Linked DNA regions of Lepisosteus oculatus. The protein of the gene in region 1 interacts with the protein of each later gene in a biochemical or structural test. Links are inferred from orthologs where the notes say so. Each region holds a gene or a part of one and is shown in the gene's direction. Other genes may lie near its edges. The genes, in order: top2a and pias4a.

Region 1 (7,971 bases):
CTGTTGCTCCCTTTCACCATTCCTCTGCAAGGAGACCACAGTGGAGGTTGGACACTCCTTTGGTGTTAAACCAGATAAAATTCACAAATGCAGGGGTAAAGGAGTCTTGATTAATTATTTTATAATTCATTAATTTGTTTATTGCTAGAAGGCATCATTTTGCTGATACTCAAGGTATGTGTTTGTTACAATATGTATTATGAGCAGGTCACAAATCTTTTGCTTGAATGTATTGTGCCCACATAACTGAAGTTCTCCATCTTGTTTTAGAATCCCAAGGCATTTGTGCGTGTTAATTTGTACTTTTGCATGTTACACTAAATAAATAACAACATTATGAAAAATACTGACGTTGACAGCTGTGAGGAGCCTTTCTAAAGCAGTGACAAACTTGTGTGCCATATTCCACACTCACTGGCCAAAATATTAGCAACCCCCACCCCCAGTCAAAGATGCAGGCCATGAAGAGCCTGAGACAGACTTCGATCCCCAGACTTTCTGAACACACAGTATCACAACCTCGACTGAAGGTGACCCAGCTAGAGGAGCTGGGGGATGGCTCAGTGGCTCAAATGGTAATATGCTTGCCTGAGCATTAGGTAGAGTTCTGTGACCTCAGGTTCGAGCCCGGGTCAGGTCACTAACTGGGATGCTGGGATGTCTGGGAATCCCAGAATGGTGGTGAACAGTTGGCCGAGAGCTGCAGAGGGTGGGGAAGGGGGATTAGTCAGCTAGAGAGGTCTTGGATGTTAGCGACAGTGACCCCCTGTGGCCTCCCAGGGACTTGCAGGCTCACGGGGCTGTTGGTAAACAGCCTCTCCTGCAGGGGGCAGTGTGGCACCTTGGATGCCTTTAAGACAAGCGGCTCAGAGGTGGGTGGATCGGAGGGCGTTGCCCCACCTTTCTCGTTCTCTCCTCCCTGTGTGCGGTTGTGGGGTTCGTGAGCTGGGCATCAAAATGTGAAAAACACATGATTAGCTCTTCCAGGCTGGGTGGATATAAGGAGAACAATTGGAGACGCATACATTAAGAAGAAGAAGAATGGGGGCTGCAAACAGATCAGAATTTTGCAGAATACAAGCTACGTCCTCTGCTGTGTTTGCAGCAGGGGGGGGGGTCCTAATATTTTGTCCAACAAGTGTAGCACTCCTGGCGAAGAGTGAAAGAGCCCCAGAATGAGCGGAAAAAGCAGACCGCGGTAAAATAGGGGTTCAGAAATTAACGAAGCGGTATGCTATTGAAACTGAAGGGTTAACACCTTCACTGCAAAACACAGCTAATATTTTATTAATAGTAAGTGCAGCAATCATCAAGATCCTGACGGTTTGCTAACCTGAATATCCGCTGGCGGCACGCTGCATAATGACATCCAAACAGCTAATGAATACATTAGAGATGCAGAGAGAAAGATTTCAGCGCAACATCAAGGATGAATAACATAATTGCCTGAAGGAGCAATTGCAGGGAAAACAATTTCAGCTTTGCTGCTTGCATGTCACCACAGGACATGCTTTTGGTTTTCCTGCTTGTTTTTTTTGGGGGGGGGGGTTCTAGACAAATTTAAAGTTGTCGCCTTCAACTATTTTAGGATATCCCACGCCCAAACCCAGTCCAGAACCTTAAGGCTAAACATAACTTTAAATCTAACTCTAAGTTTGTGCCATTATTGAGCGTAATCCAGCTTTTCTCCCTAAACCTTATTGTGACTCTAAATATAACTCTACTCTGTTGTTCACTCCAATGCTAACCCCACCCCAGCTCTGACAGCTGGGAATAATGGATACCATTGTCAGGCCAAACAATGGATTCCAGTCTAGTGCAGAGTGCCGGATCGTCATGGCACAGGGCCACAGCCGTCAAGTGGCTGGACTCTGTTATTGATGCAGTCTGTGCCTTCCTTGCTCAGTCTTGCACTCTCGGGCTGAGCTCTGCTCTGCTGCCTGACCAAGGGAGGGAGGACTTTGATAGCAGTCCGCCCGGCCTCTTCCCCGTCCATTTTCATCGCTCCTGTGGTGCTTTCCCAGGGTCTACTCTTCGCTGTGTTACAGCCCACAGTCAGGAGTGGATCAATGCTGAATCCGAGACTGCCCCGGCCATCTCTCCCGCACTGGTCGGCACTGACCTCCTTTCCGACCAGTGCCGGGCATTTCCGGCACCTCCTTGGACTTACTGAGGCTGAATTTTACAGTGCCCGGTGCAAGCAAAGGCACTGTGCGCTTCCGCTGGAGATTAAAAATAGTTAAAGGCGTCTTACAATCACAATTACAATCAGTAGGCTTTTTATTGAAGTTAAAATCGGAGGAAAGCAGTTTTGAAAATTCATGGACGTGTGCCCTCTAGCTGTGCTGTAAAGGAGGGATGGTAGGTGAGATGGACACTTGGGAACCTCCAATAAAAGTGAACGCAACTGCTTGACAGCACCTGAGACACTGATCCCTCCAGCAGGGGGCACTGTGACATCAAACGTATTCTAATGCTTCTTTCTCCTGCACTTCTGGCATTTTAAATCATGAAATCATGAAGCACACTTTCAAAACAATAAACACCCATCTAAAATGGCCACATCTATGATGTGTTCTGTTCAGGATTTGAAATGGCTTATATTTCAAAAGGAAATGTCAATGACTTCTGCGTTCTGAGATGCTGTTTTTGACATTTTGGAATCACTTGCAAGGAGAAACTGGTATGCAATGGTTTTTTTTTTCCTAACCGCAAACCATCTATCTAAATGTCATTTTGCTGCAATAAAGGTCTCCCACGAAACAAAGATCCTTAGGCATGTACTGTAAGATAGGATCTCAGAATAACCCTGTCTTTCAATACCTTCACCAAGTCACAAGGGCTGAGGGCCAGACAGAACTAATGACATCAAGCAATAAAGTGTGTCCCAGGAAGATCTGCTTTTGCTGTGTTGAGTGGCCATCTTGCAGCACTGCAGTCTGGCCTCGCTGATCAGCATCAACGCATTGGGATGGGCTTCTATCAGCAACCTTGCCTGGGCTAAATTTAGCCTGACCTTGAGGATCAGCAGGGCCCCCCTTGGGATCCACAGCACAGCCCCTCCGCTGTTTGGAGCCTGCTCACTCCGGCATCAGCACGGGGCCCACAGCTGTCACTCAGTATTAACAGAGCACGCGGGCTGACAGAAAACATCCCCTGCCCGAGCCAGGGCTCTCAGGCCAGCGATCGGACGGCCGCCCAAGTGCAGTGGACGAGCAGGCCCGATGCAGGCGTAGATATGTGTGTAGCATACTCCAACGGCAGCGTTAATAAGCCCAGGCCCTGACCTGCTCCCACATCCGGCTGAAACTGGTATGTGAAGGTGCTGGGCAAGCACACTGTGAACTGGAGAAAGTGGCTATCAAACAGATAGATGAACAGTACCTCTGACAAGCCTGGAATCTCCAGGCGCCTCTCAGCCACTTTGTCAAATAGCTCACTTGTAAAACACAAGTACTGAAGGAAGAAGGGTTCAGAGAACAGGGAGAGGACAGTGCAGACAGTGGGCTCAGCGTGGAGACAGTGTGCACATGGTTACAGGCCAGACTGAGGTTACAGTGAGTCCCATGTCATAATAATAATAATATATAATAATAAACTTTATTTTATATAGCGCCTTTAAAGGTGGCTTCTCAAAGTGCTTTGCAGGATGACAACAACAATAAGAAGAATACACAAGATAAAACACAATTATAATATATAGAGGAGACCACGGACACGTTTAGTCATGAGCTAAATATATATTATATTAAACAAAACAAAAAACAACAGTCACAAAGGCTGAGGAGGATGGTAACAACAACAACAATAATAAAATAATAATAATAATAATAAAATAATAATAATAATAATAATAATAATAATAATAATAATAATAATAATAATAATAATATGCTCACACCGGAAGAAGGCTCCATGGCCGAAACGTTGTTTTCTTTCTTCTTTTCAGAATGGAATAAACCTATTACTTGTTCCTAATAATAATAATAATGTTGCAAATGGGGGGTGACCAGACTGGTGAAAATTACTTTCCACAGATAAACACAAACGGGGTGGGGTGAGAGCGTACAGTGACGGGGGGTTACAGCGAGAAATAGCTTTTTTTGCTGGTCTTCACGTGTTAACTTTTGCTTGGAACACGATGCCATCTATCGGATATCCTTATCGGTACACATAGTCGACATTTCTTCCTGATTATGCTAGCGAGCTGGTCCTGCCGCGGCAAATAACGTGTTCTCAAGCTCCAGAGAGGTTTCCACATGGAGTCATAATATAGAGTCCTGTATTCGGGGGAAGTCTTTTTACATACAGCGTTACTGCATACAGTTTAAAGTACGGATACATAACTGCACAAACAAAATAAAAATCTTATAACAACAACGTTTAAAGTCCAGCTTTGCACAATCGTAGTGCATTTTGGATCAAAGCTATTAAAAAAAACCCTACAGCTGCTTAAAGATTATTAAACCTACGATTCAGCGCGAAACCAATGCTGGTTACTCTCCTCTCTTGATGTGATTGGCTATTTCAACTTGCGACGCACCGCCCCGTCCTGTCCACGATAACCAATGTGAGACGAAGAACATGTTGCTGTGTCCTGTGATTGGTCAATGACAGCACTTGAGCGGAAACAGCCACGAAAAAAAAACAATTTCAAACGGAAGTCAGTAGGCTTCGCGGGATCTGATTGGTCAATCTTTGAAGCGCAATGTAAACGTATTTTTAAATTTGAAAATGCAGTTCGGTGAAGGGTTGGCTCTTTGTCGGTTGTGGTAGTCAGTGTTATTCTGTAGAGGTTTAAAGTGTAGTGCTAGGTTCGGTTGAGAGGGTTTTGTTAGCGTTGATATTTTTAGCTTTATTCATCTGTTTTAGTAAAACAGCCATTCTCTGTTTTATATAGGTTGTAATACCGCTCGAATAGTTAAGAAATGGCCTCTGAAGGAACGCTGAAGGTAAGGTTAATGTCGACGAGCATGCTGGTGGTATCTGTGGAGGGAAAACCGAAATCTGGAGCCGAATGCTTACTTGAAAATATTATATACCTGTTTCTTTCCTCGTCTGTGCACGATTAAACAATTCTATTTCATTTGGGCTAATAAACACGGTTTTACATTCATGTTCAAAACCGTTATGTAAGGCAAAAAGACTTGCGGGGTGGAGGGAGTTTTTAATCTGGGATTATGAAAACAATCAGAACAGTAAAAAACTGGATTTATGACCGCATTCCAATCCTCCAATGCTAAAATATTATTTTAATGTAAAGTTTTCCAGATAAGTGCTTTCGATTTCGTCTTGGGACATATTTTCTTTTTTCTTTTCTGGCGAGGGTAAATTGTCCTGTTTGCGTGCAGCCTGCGATCGCAGCCGGTGATGGGTATGAAAATCAGATTTCAGATCGTGAATGTCCCCAGGTCGTTGAAGTGCTTACAAAATGGCGAGAACTGGACTCAGTTTGTCATGCCCCCTGACGGTCATCCTACCTCGATTTCCCTAAAACTACGATTCCGTGATTTCTGCTTTACTTATTCGGCTGCAAGAACTGAATTATTGACCAGTTCTCATCTTACTGTCCCAGCGGAACCAAGGAAAGTAGAGTTCGGCGTTTTGATAACCTTTCTTAATTACCACAGTGACAGGCATTGTATCTGGGACGAAGAATTTTCCGAGATATTTCAATTATAAATTTTGGGGGTAAATATTGTGGGGTTTGACTAAATAGAACGCAGCTGCTACATGGGATGTCTAGTCTTTCTTGTGTACAGAAACGAAAGACTATTTACACTTGCAAATGTTAAGTGCTTCGGTCTGGGACGAGCGGGGCGGAAGAGCGTTGTCCGTTAACTTTTTTTTTTGGTCAAGTTTACAATCTGGTGGCAGCGAGCCGAACTTCAGTCCGTCCCGTCCCCCTAAATCTTTTTAAATCCCTACCGCCTGTGGCATTGACACGCATCGCTTTCTTCTCTTACGACACCAGAGTAAGGCACAATCATTTCATGCAGCACTTTTCCTGTGGGAAGTTAAAAACCGTTTCAGACTCCTTGATGGCATGAGCTAAACGGTAAACCGAACTTCACCTCTGCAGGGCTGGTTTTCATTCCAGCGCACCTATTAATAATACAATTGAACTGGTAATTGGCTTCATTTAAGCTCTTTTGCCAGAACTTTTCCCTGCTGTGGATCTTTAAAACCCGCTGGACAGTGGCTCTCCCAGACGGGGATTCTAAATACCAGTCCACAGGGCGCGTTTGTAAAGCCAAATTGCTGTCGCCCACCTCTTGCCCTTTTGTGTCCCCTGCAGACGATGTTTGAGAACAAGCCTGTGAGCAAGGCGAAGGATGATAAGCGTCTGTCTGTGGAGAGGATCTACCAGAAGAAGACGCAGTTGGAGCACATTCTGCTCCGTCCCGACACCTACATCGGGTCTGTGGAGCCCGTGACACAGGTGAGCACTTGTGACACAGGCGGGCAGGCACCTGGCCATGCAGTTTGCAGTGTGGCAGCTCTTTATATATCCGGGAAAGTGTAGGCAGAGGCTGGATTCATGCTGTTTATTACCCCGTTTTAGTGGATGGATGTTATTTTTGTCAACTCAAAGCTAGTGCATTAATACTTTCGTGATCATTTAAGGGAGGGTGTCTCATATCTTTTCGCCATGTGTACTCTAAACTGTAGTACATTATGCAATGGTACAAGGTTATATGTCAGTTTGGTTGTTTGTGATGGTTCTCTGCACTGAACCCTTGTGGATGTTGAGAACCTGCTGTAGTTGGACAGTCCAGTAAGAAATGCAGCCTATGGTGGATTCCCTAGTTTCTAGTATGTTTCCTAATGCAGAGTTCCGGCATGCTTTGCAATGTTACTGCATTGAATGAAGGCTGTGGCACCAGTCAACTAACAATCAGCTCACACTGAAATCTTGTTGAAGAGCCCCAGTTTGATGTTCCACAATAGATAACTAAGTTTTGATGGCCTTCTTTTCTAGCAAATGTGGGTGATGGATGAAGAAATCGGAATGAACTGCAGAGATGTGACTTTTGTTCCTGGCTTGTACAAGATCTTTGATGAAATCCTTGGTAGGTACTAATCAATAATGTGAGGTGGTGTCAGAGTAGCCTTCTGCTGTAATAATTTGTGCTTAATTGACAAAGATGTGTCTCTCTTCCGGACATTGTTATACCATACAGCATTGAGCCATTGATCTTTTTCATAGCGCCACAGGATAATGGACGGTGTGTATTTGTTTTCTAACATTGCCGTAAGAGGATATTTCCATGGATCCTTTTGACTCTGTGCATATTAATGATCAACAGTATTAAACACAGCTTTTCAAGATTATTGAAAATTGAGCTAGAAAATCTGTTCTTCTGTTTGAAAAATAAGTAAAAGCCTAAATCTAAGATCTTGTTTTTCTCCAGTGAATGCTGCAGATAACAAACAGCGGGATAAGAAGATGTCCTGCATCAAGATCAACATTGACCCGTGAGTGATGTTCTAGAATATAGTCAAGGGTGCAATCGAGTCGACAGTTTAGCGTTAACATTTTAACATTTCAGTACCTAGAGTGTTTTTTTCAAATGTAGATACTTTATTTTATTGTGGTTTCGGAACTGAAAACCATGAAAAAGCTCAAGTTAAATAAATCCCTGGATCATTTAACAGTAAATGACTTAATTGGAGGAAAAATCAAAAGCCACTGGGCTTCGCAAACCCTGCCTTAGTCACATACTTGCCCTGTAATCCACCGCTACACTTATTCCTACACTAGTACACTATTATGGAAACAATTATCAATGACACACCTCTAAAAAATCACTTGAGTGTCACTGACTCTCGGAAATCCTTTCTATCACCTGGATCAAAATGTTTGTTTGGGAAGCTGTGCTTCCTTGAGAATTAAATTTCAGGAGGAATTGGAACCATCTTTATAGGGACAAACATCTTATTGTATATGGTCAGGGCGGCTGGGTATTT
Region 2 (7,646 bases), on another chromosome or scaffold:
TGCAGCCCTGCACTCTCACGCTCAGCTACTGAACACACTGCTGCCCTGCATTCTCATGCTGAGCTACTGAACACACTGCTGCCCTGCATTCTCACACTGAGCTGCTGAACACACTGCTGCCCTGCACTCTCTTATGCTGAGCTACTGAACACACTGCAGCCCAGCACTCTCATGCTGAGCTACTGAACACACTGCAGCCCAGCACTCTCATGCTGAGCTACTGAACACACTGCTGCCCTGCACTCTCTTACGCTGAGCTACTGAACACACTGCAGCCCAGCACTGTAACACTGAGCTACTGAACAAACTGCAGCCCAGCACTATAACACTGAGCTACTGAACACACTGCTGCCCTGCACTCTCTTACGTTGAGCTACTGAACACACTGCTGCCCAGCACTCACACTGAGCTACTGAACAGACTGCTGCCCTGCATTCTCACCCTGAGCTACTGAACACACTGCAGCCCTGCATTCTCACCCTGAGCTACTGAACACACTGCAGCCCTGCATTCTCACCCTGAGCTACTGAACACACTGCTGCCCTGCATTCTCACCCTGAGCTACTGAACACACTGCTGCCCTGCACTCTTTTACGCTGAGCTACTCATTTATTAACTTATTGTTGTTGCTGCTGCTCAGTGTTGGTGTTTTGGGCGATTCCTTTAATGTCTTTGTATGGGAGCGCTCATGACAAACTGGTCTGAACAGGTGAAACTCGACAGGTTACTGATCTTTCCCCGATGCCCTTTGATACAAAGCGACTCCCATGTGCGCCCTCTCCTACAGCGGGGTCTTTCCCTGCGGCTCTCTGGGTGCAGCATCCGGCTCAGGGGGGGGACCCCCAACCTTCCAGTCCAGACCCCGCTGTCGCACCCTTCCTGCTGATGTGTCCGTCAGCAAGCGGGTCTCAAACCCCCGACACACCCTACACACGCCCGGTATCAGCTCAGCCCTGCTCCGCGGCTACGTTTTCACTCCAGGCCACTGATGCACTAACCTTTCGGGCAAGAAGACTTTTTAAACACATTAACACCCCCCCCCCCCCAGCAGCTGACCCGCTCCCCCCGGAAGGTACTCACTCGGACGCGGCGTCCACGGCGTTGGGACCGGGCTGGCCCTCCCCGCCCGTGGGGGTGATGTTCAGCGGCATCGGCCTCTTCTTCGGAGCCATCTCGCTCGGGCCTCAGGCGCGACCCAGCCCGCACAGCTCGCACTGGACCGGGAAAACCGACTCGGCGCTGGTTCGCTGAATCAGAAGCTCCAGTCGGGAGCCCAGATTAAAACATAGAGAGAGATTTCGGCGGCCCCGTCTCGACTGCAGCCCCCACCCGCCTCTACAGGCCGGCTTGGGAAAGGTTTTCTTTTGGACAATTAAAGCTGAAATGCACGAGTGCCCCGATAGTGGGTGTTTTTTGACAGCTGAGATGCTGTTCTTCACAGCGACATCCCCTTCTCAAGAGCTGCGGGCGGGCGGTCCGGTCCGGTCGGGAAGGTGGGTCGCTAATGGCCACCGGTCTGCCGGCGGGGCTGGGACACGGGCAGCAGCAGCGCGACTACCGCACACGGATCGACGTCTGCATCCGACAGGATGAATATCGCGGCCCCGGCACCTCTGCCCGTCCCGAAGCGCGGAGGTTAGAATCGGGTTTTGCAGCTTTTGAAACGTTGAAAACACCCGAGTCTCCTCTTCAAGGTGCGAGTCCCCCGGGTACCTTCAGACACGTACGGAAAAGTGATCACTTGAAGGAAGACGCCAGGAAAAAATAAATAAACAGCATATCACCGCGTTTGTCTCTTTTCCTTTCCTTCAGAGTCTTCAGCTGTTGTTTAGAGAGAAAGACCGTCTCTGGTGTTGTCCTGGGGCGCACCGCGGCCGCGGCCTGTCTCCGGCTCTGCGGACGCGGAAAAGGGAGGCAGGGTCCCCCGGTGGCAGCGAACACTAGAGCCCGAGGCTGCGCGGCCCTTGCGGCGGGGAGAGGGCGTGAGCGGGGTGTCTGCGGCGAATGTCCACTGGATGGGCCGGGGGACGCCGGCTCGGTTAGGCTCTCAGCTGGGCGGCGGGGACTCAGTTCGGGTCCCGGTTCAGGAAGCAGTAGCAGTAGCAGCAGACGCGGCCAGGAGGGGTCCCACGGAATCTCGCGAGATCTGTCACCCACACATCCTTCACGATCAGCGGAATCCGGTCCAGGGTTGCAACATAAATCTCGCGAGATTAGAGGTCGCGCCTGGAGCTGCACGCAGCGACCTCTGGCGGCGGGATGGAGTAACTCCAGAAACAGAGTGGCTTCGACCGCGAGTGTTCCTGCCTGTCACAACGCGCAATGCTGTCTGTCCTTATAATGCTCCAGGAGCAGACTTAGACACGCACACACAAAAATATATATAGGAATACATATATAATTCATATATATATATATCGATAGGAACGCAACACTTCTAGATTCCCAGGTGGATTTGAAATAAAATGTTTGCATAAGAACGGTAGTAGTGCTCTTGCACTTGCACATCCTGCTCTGTCCAGTCTTGGACCTCCTGGGGGGAGTCCTGCAATTGAGAGGCAGGATCACAGCTGGTCAGCTCCGTTTCTGTGGCGAGCTGCTCACAGTGTCTGCCCAGTGTCTGCGCTGTCTTGCTCCACGAGACCCACTGCGGGCCAGTGTCCTGACCGGCATGAAACACTCCTCAGAACAGCTGTTGGGGCTCCTGGAGGCCGGAGGGGAGGAAGGAATGAGGTAGACTCACTGCAGGTGACAGGGTCTGTCCCCCGACGATCTGCAGTCTAATCCCAGCAGAGTGAGACATGGCCACCCGACGACTGCTCCTGAGCCTGACAGCCGGTCTCCCTGCCTGCGCTCCCAGAGCAACATCCCATCATCCCCCGCTGACAAACACTGACTCTCCCTCTCGCCAGGGCCGGACTGTGGTGCTCGTCGGCCCTCGGCACTTTCACTCCGAAATGTGCCAGGAGAGGGGTCAACGCCAGTTGAATGACGTCGATTGACATGATGCACTTTAAACTATTGTGAGGACCGGGGGATTCGCACAGAATGGAGCTCACACACCCCTGATGTGCCAACAACAACTCGTTTATTTACCTCCGCCTGTTGGACTTGATAGACAGAGATTAAAACTCCTTGAAGGGGTTACACACACACGCACACTCACTCACTGACACACACACTGACACACACACACACGCGGTAAGAATTAAGGAGGGGTACTTCAGTTTTCAGTGGGTTACAAGGACAAACAGCAAACACTGACAGCTATTTACGATGGCTCCTCATAACCTCTCTACGCTCTTCTCATGCTAAACCAGGCGATTGATGGGGCGAGTCGAGAGACCATCACTTCCACACTTCTAGTTTCTAGAACAGCTGCTAGAGAGCGTGGGATTGTTGATGTGGAGCAAGCATGTTGTTTCAGCTCGTCAGTCAGGAGTGTTTCCCTCCTTCGTAGGCCCTAAAAATGTCCTAGGCCCTAGCAGCTGTGCCAGCACGGCCCCATGGGAGATCCGGCACAGCCATTCACCATCTTCATCTTTCCTCCACCCTCCTCCTGCTGGTGGGGTTGCTCACTGGCCAGACATGTTCACACTGTGTGTTACTGTGTGTTAGTGTGTGTTACTGCGAAAGTCTGTGTGTCTTCGTGAAATTGGTGTGTTAACATGGAAATGGGGGAAAAAAAGTAAGGTTTCATGAACGGTGGGGCGACTGTGTATTATCCACAGCCTAGAGCTGGAGATGTCATGCCTGGCACATCATTCCGAATGAACAGTCTGTGGAAGGACTTGGGGTTACAGGGTGTGCGTATCTTTGTGTCCTTCCTAACTAATTCAGTTTTACAAGAGCTGTTCAGCTTCAAAGACATGGAAATGGATTCCTGGATCCAGCTCCTAGAATGCACAATTCTGACACTCATTTCCATCTTTTTAACAAAGTGCAAAATATCAGACACTGGTTTCTACAAACCTTCCAGACAAAAACATTTCCATAAGCCTTTCTGTCGATAAGAAAAAAAGATATGATCTAATTAAGATGTTGGACCTGTTTAAAAACGCACATTGCATTCCTTCTCCTAAAGCCGTTTGGTTGGACGCGAGGTGTGAAGTAGAATTCTGGATACGGACTGGAGTCTCCCAGACTCATGCTGTCTTCCGACTGACACCGCTAAAGAAACGCGATTAATGTAAGAAGACCCTGGCGCTGCCTCGGAGCGCACGTTCATTCCGGGGTTATCAAGCTCTAAAAGGTGGCACCCCGTGATATCAGGCAGCCCATGCGCCTTTTTAGGGTGCCGAGGCCTAGCGCGCCACTGGCAGCCTATGTGGAAGTGTGACCCGACTTTTTGCTAACACTGTCGCTTTAAGAGCCAGCGGCCACGCCCCTTTCTTGCGCAGTCCCCCGCACCACGTGACCGGGCCGTGCGCCGATTGGTGGGCCCGGCTCCCCCGCACGTGACCCCGCGGCCTCTCATTGGCGGCCAGCTCGCTTTCTTAGTTTTGGCTCTCGCGGGGCTGCTGGAGGAAGATGGCGGCCGAGCTAGTGGAAGCGATGGCAAGTCGAGAGCTGCTTTCTCCCGGGCGGCTGGGCAAGGGGCCGGGGGGCGGCCGGGGCAGCCGAGCGGGGGCTTCGGGCGAGGCTGGGGAGGGCGGGAGCCCAGCGCGGCGAGGCTGGGGGTGGCAGGGAGATTCACGCCAGGGGGCAGAGCCGTTGTGAAGAGGGGTCGCTGGCATATGGGATAATGAATGATAGATCCATAAATAAAAACATCCGCCAGCGGGGAGTCGGAGCGGCTCGGGTTTAATCATTCACTCCCCTCCTGCAAGCTCGGCACCTCGCACCCGGCGTGTGCCTGCAGCTGAAGGGACCCTGCGCGGCGTGAGAGGGGCTTCCGTCTTCACGGGTTGACAGCGACGAGGTGTGTTTTTCCCGGCGAGAGAGAGGCGGACCTGTCCGCTGCCCCCAGGGGGAAGGGAGCTGCAGGGCCGGTGTCCGGGCTCGGCACCTGGCCGGCGCCAGCGTGAGGCCGGGGCGCCGCGGTGACCCCGATGAGCGCACCCTTGTCGGCGTCTGTGGCTGGAGACGCCGAGCAGCGCAGGAGTCCCGACCCGTCGTTGCCGTCACCCGTGCCTGGTCCCCAGCCGGCGGAGATGCAAAGCAGCCCCCCTGCGCTGGTGCTCCCCGGCTGAGCAGAGCCAGCAGCGCCCCGGTGTGCAGACGGGCAACAGCCGACGCAGACGGAAGCCCCGCTTCAAAGCTGATCATAACTGTTGTTGCAGTCTGATTTTCGCCGGATGGATTTAGAGAGAACTCCGTGCTGTTTGATTGAGAGAAGTCGTCAGCCCTGTTCGCCTTTAGTCCTCTCGGGCTCCGCTGGCGTGACGTCTTGTGCCCGTGGGTTTCTGTCCGAGCCCCCGGCGGGTGTGTCGGCTGCTCTGTAAGGGTCCGGCCGCGTCTGCGGGCTGCACGCAGGCGGAGCAAAGACGAGTCCGGCTGGCTCGTCCTGGGGTGAAGGGCTTGTGTTGAGAGGCAGCCGGGCGCTGGGAGGGCTTGCCCGGTGTCGCCAGTTTCCACAGCGGTGCCTCTGGTCTCCTGCTTGGGGAGAGGAGTCGATGCTGCGTGCGGATCTTTTGTTTTATATAGCGCCTTTCAAAGCTGCTTTTTAAAGTGCTTTCCAGTAAAGAACAAGGGTTCTGAGTGCGGCCCGCGGTGCAAAGGGCAGGCAGATCCAGTTCGGGCAAAGCGCTTCTGAAGAGGAAGGGGTGGAGTCCGGATCGGTCCCCTCTCGGGGAGAGGGGAGAGGGGACCCCAATTGCCTTGGAGACAGCCCTCTGGGGCTCTGGGGTGCAGCAGGAGGAGGTCGCCCAGCGCATGTCGACGAGTCTGGGGGGACGGGGAGGGGGTCCAGGGTCCGGAGAGGAGGTGCTCAGCGTCTCTTGTCTTCCTCTCCGCCCCGCAGAACATGGTGAAGAGTTTCCGGGTGTCGGACCTGCAGACGCTGCTGTCCTCCATGGGCCGCAGCAAGAGCGGGCTGAAGCAGGACCTGGTGGGCCGGGCCCTGCGGCTGGTGCAGAGCGAGTGCAGCCCGGAGCTGCTCAAGACCATCCGCCAGCTGTACGAGTCGCGCTTCCCCAAGGCGCCCGGCTGGCTGGCGCAGCGGCCTCGGCCCCCCGAGCTGCTGCAGGCGCCCTACCCGGCCCGCAGCCCCCCGCACCCGGCCCCGGCCCCCCCGCAGGGCGCGGACTACCTCAACGGCCTCGCCGCCACCGCCACCGCCGCCACACCCCCCACCGACGTCAAGCTGGTGCCCCTGCCCTTCTACAAGACTGTGGACGTGCTGCTGCACCCCACCGAGCTCGGTGAGTCCCCCCCGACCCGTCCGGGAGAGCTGCTGGCCGTGCCCTTTCTCCTGTGTGGTCTCCCCTCTCCCTCCTCTGTTTCCTGCTGTTTGCTTTGTAGTTCGGTTTCTCTTATTCTGCGATTTCCGACCTTCAGTGACCCCTGTGAACAGAAGTTCACTGGAGACAAGATTCTCGGTCTTTTCAGCAGCACCTGGGCTGGAGCAGGACTGTCCAACAGGTCCCGGGTTCCGGCTTCCCTGCAAACTGCAGGTTTTTATTGGAGCCAAGGTCTTGATGGCTGAAGATGCTCGTTAGTGGCTTAATTGGACCAATTGAACAGCTTCAACCTGCAGGTGCTGCTGCTTTAAAGAGACCTGGAAAACCTACAGACACTGCCCAGGTCCAGGGGGAGGCCGCTGGGATACAGTCTTTTTTGGCAGAGCTTTCCCGAGTCTGGTCTGTAACTGTCTCTCTGTCTCCCTAGTGCCCCAGAACAGCGAGAAACTCCAGGACAGCCCGTGCACCTTTGAGCTGTCCCAGAGCCAGGTGGAGCAGATCAGGAATTCTCGGTGAGCTCTCTCTCTCTCTCTCTCTCTCTCTCTGCTCCCAAACCTGCAGGAGCTCAATACCCACCTCTTCTTCATCTGGTTACTATCCGGACATTTACAGGCTCGTGCTTTAATACCTACATGTCCTACATGCCAAAAAAAAGAGAGAACCGTGTTGAGTGATCGCTCTGTCTCCTGTTCCAGGGAGCTGCGCCTCGGGGTGAAGTCTGTCCAGGTGGTGCTCAGGTGAGTGTGCTCTCTCTGGGGAATCTCGCCTGTCTCCCTCTCTGTCGCAGGAAGATGAGGCTCAATACGGGATCACTGTTCCTGGGAAACACTTGAGTGCAATACTCAAGGCTCACACCGCTGCTGTGCTTTGAGATATTGAATGTTCCCAGAGGTTAAATATCTGTAATGGTTGTACGTTGGTAGCTTTTTGGAAGTGCAGGTCGTGTATCCTCTGATGTGGGGGGAAAACTGGAGCCTGACCCCAGCGTGGTGCCACAGCAGAAAAGCTAGACTGCAGTCTTCAAAGGGGGCACCCAGCCGGATCTTCACATTATCGACCGGGCTCTGATAGAATTCCTCGGGCTGGGCAGCCCCAGTCTCTCCCTCATCCCATCCCTCGCTCCCGTAGCAGAGCGGTCGGCTCAGGGGTTGCTGGAGGGAGGCCGCTGTCCAGTGTTTAATCGCCCCTGGAGCTGCAGGATGTAGCAGTGACCGGTTATGGAGCAGGTGCTCGAGCAGATCAGGG

Evidence for each region.
Region 2: of the proteins of top2a (region 1) and pias4a, one has a biochemical effect on the other in vitro, tested with the Homo sapiens proteins (2 studies listed by BioGRID). The link is inferred for Lepisosteus oculatus from reciprocal best matches to the Homo sapiens genes TOP2A and PIAS4.

What each region holds. Positions count from the first base shown.
Region 1 is NC_090723.1:6,354,399-6,362,369, forward strand, and holds the start of top2a (DNA topoisomerase 2-alpha), read left to right. Parts: upstream 1-4,714; 5' UTR 4,715-4,928; coding exon 4,929-4,952; intron 4,953-6,298; coding exon 6,299-6,442; intron 6,443-6,982; coding exon 6,983-7,073; intron 7,074-7,415; coding exon 7,416-7,479; intron 7,480-7,971. UniProt on the Homo sapiens protein: Key decatenating enzyme that alters DNA topology by binding to two double-stranded DNA molecules, generating a double-stranded break in one of the strands, passing the intact strand through the broken strand, and religating the broken strand.
Region 2 is NC_090724.1:8,882,429-8,890,074, reverse strand, and holds the start of pias4a (E3 SUMO-protein ligase PIAS4-A), read left to right. Parts: upstream 1-4,476; 5' UTR 4,477-4,530; coding exon 4,531-4,557; intron 4,558-4,586; exon of another isoform or gene 4,587-4,921; intron 4,922-5,962; coding exon 5,963-6,362; intron 6,363-6,828; coding exon 6,829-6,913; intron 6,914-7,096; coding exon 7,097-7,138; intron 7,139-7,646. Other genes in the region: map2k2a (dual specificity mitogen-activated protein kinase kinase 2), read right to left, coding at 1,081-1,172.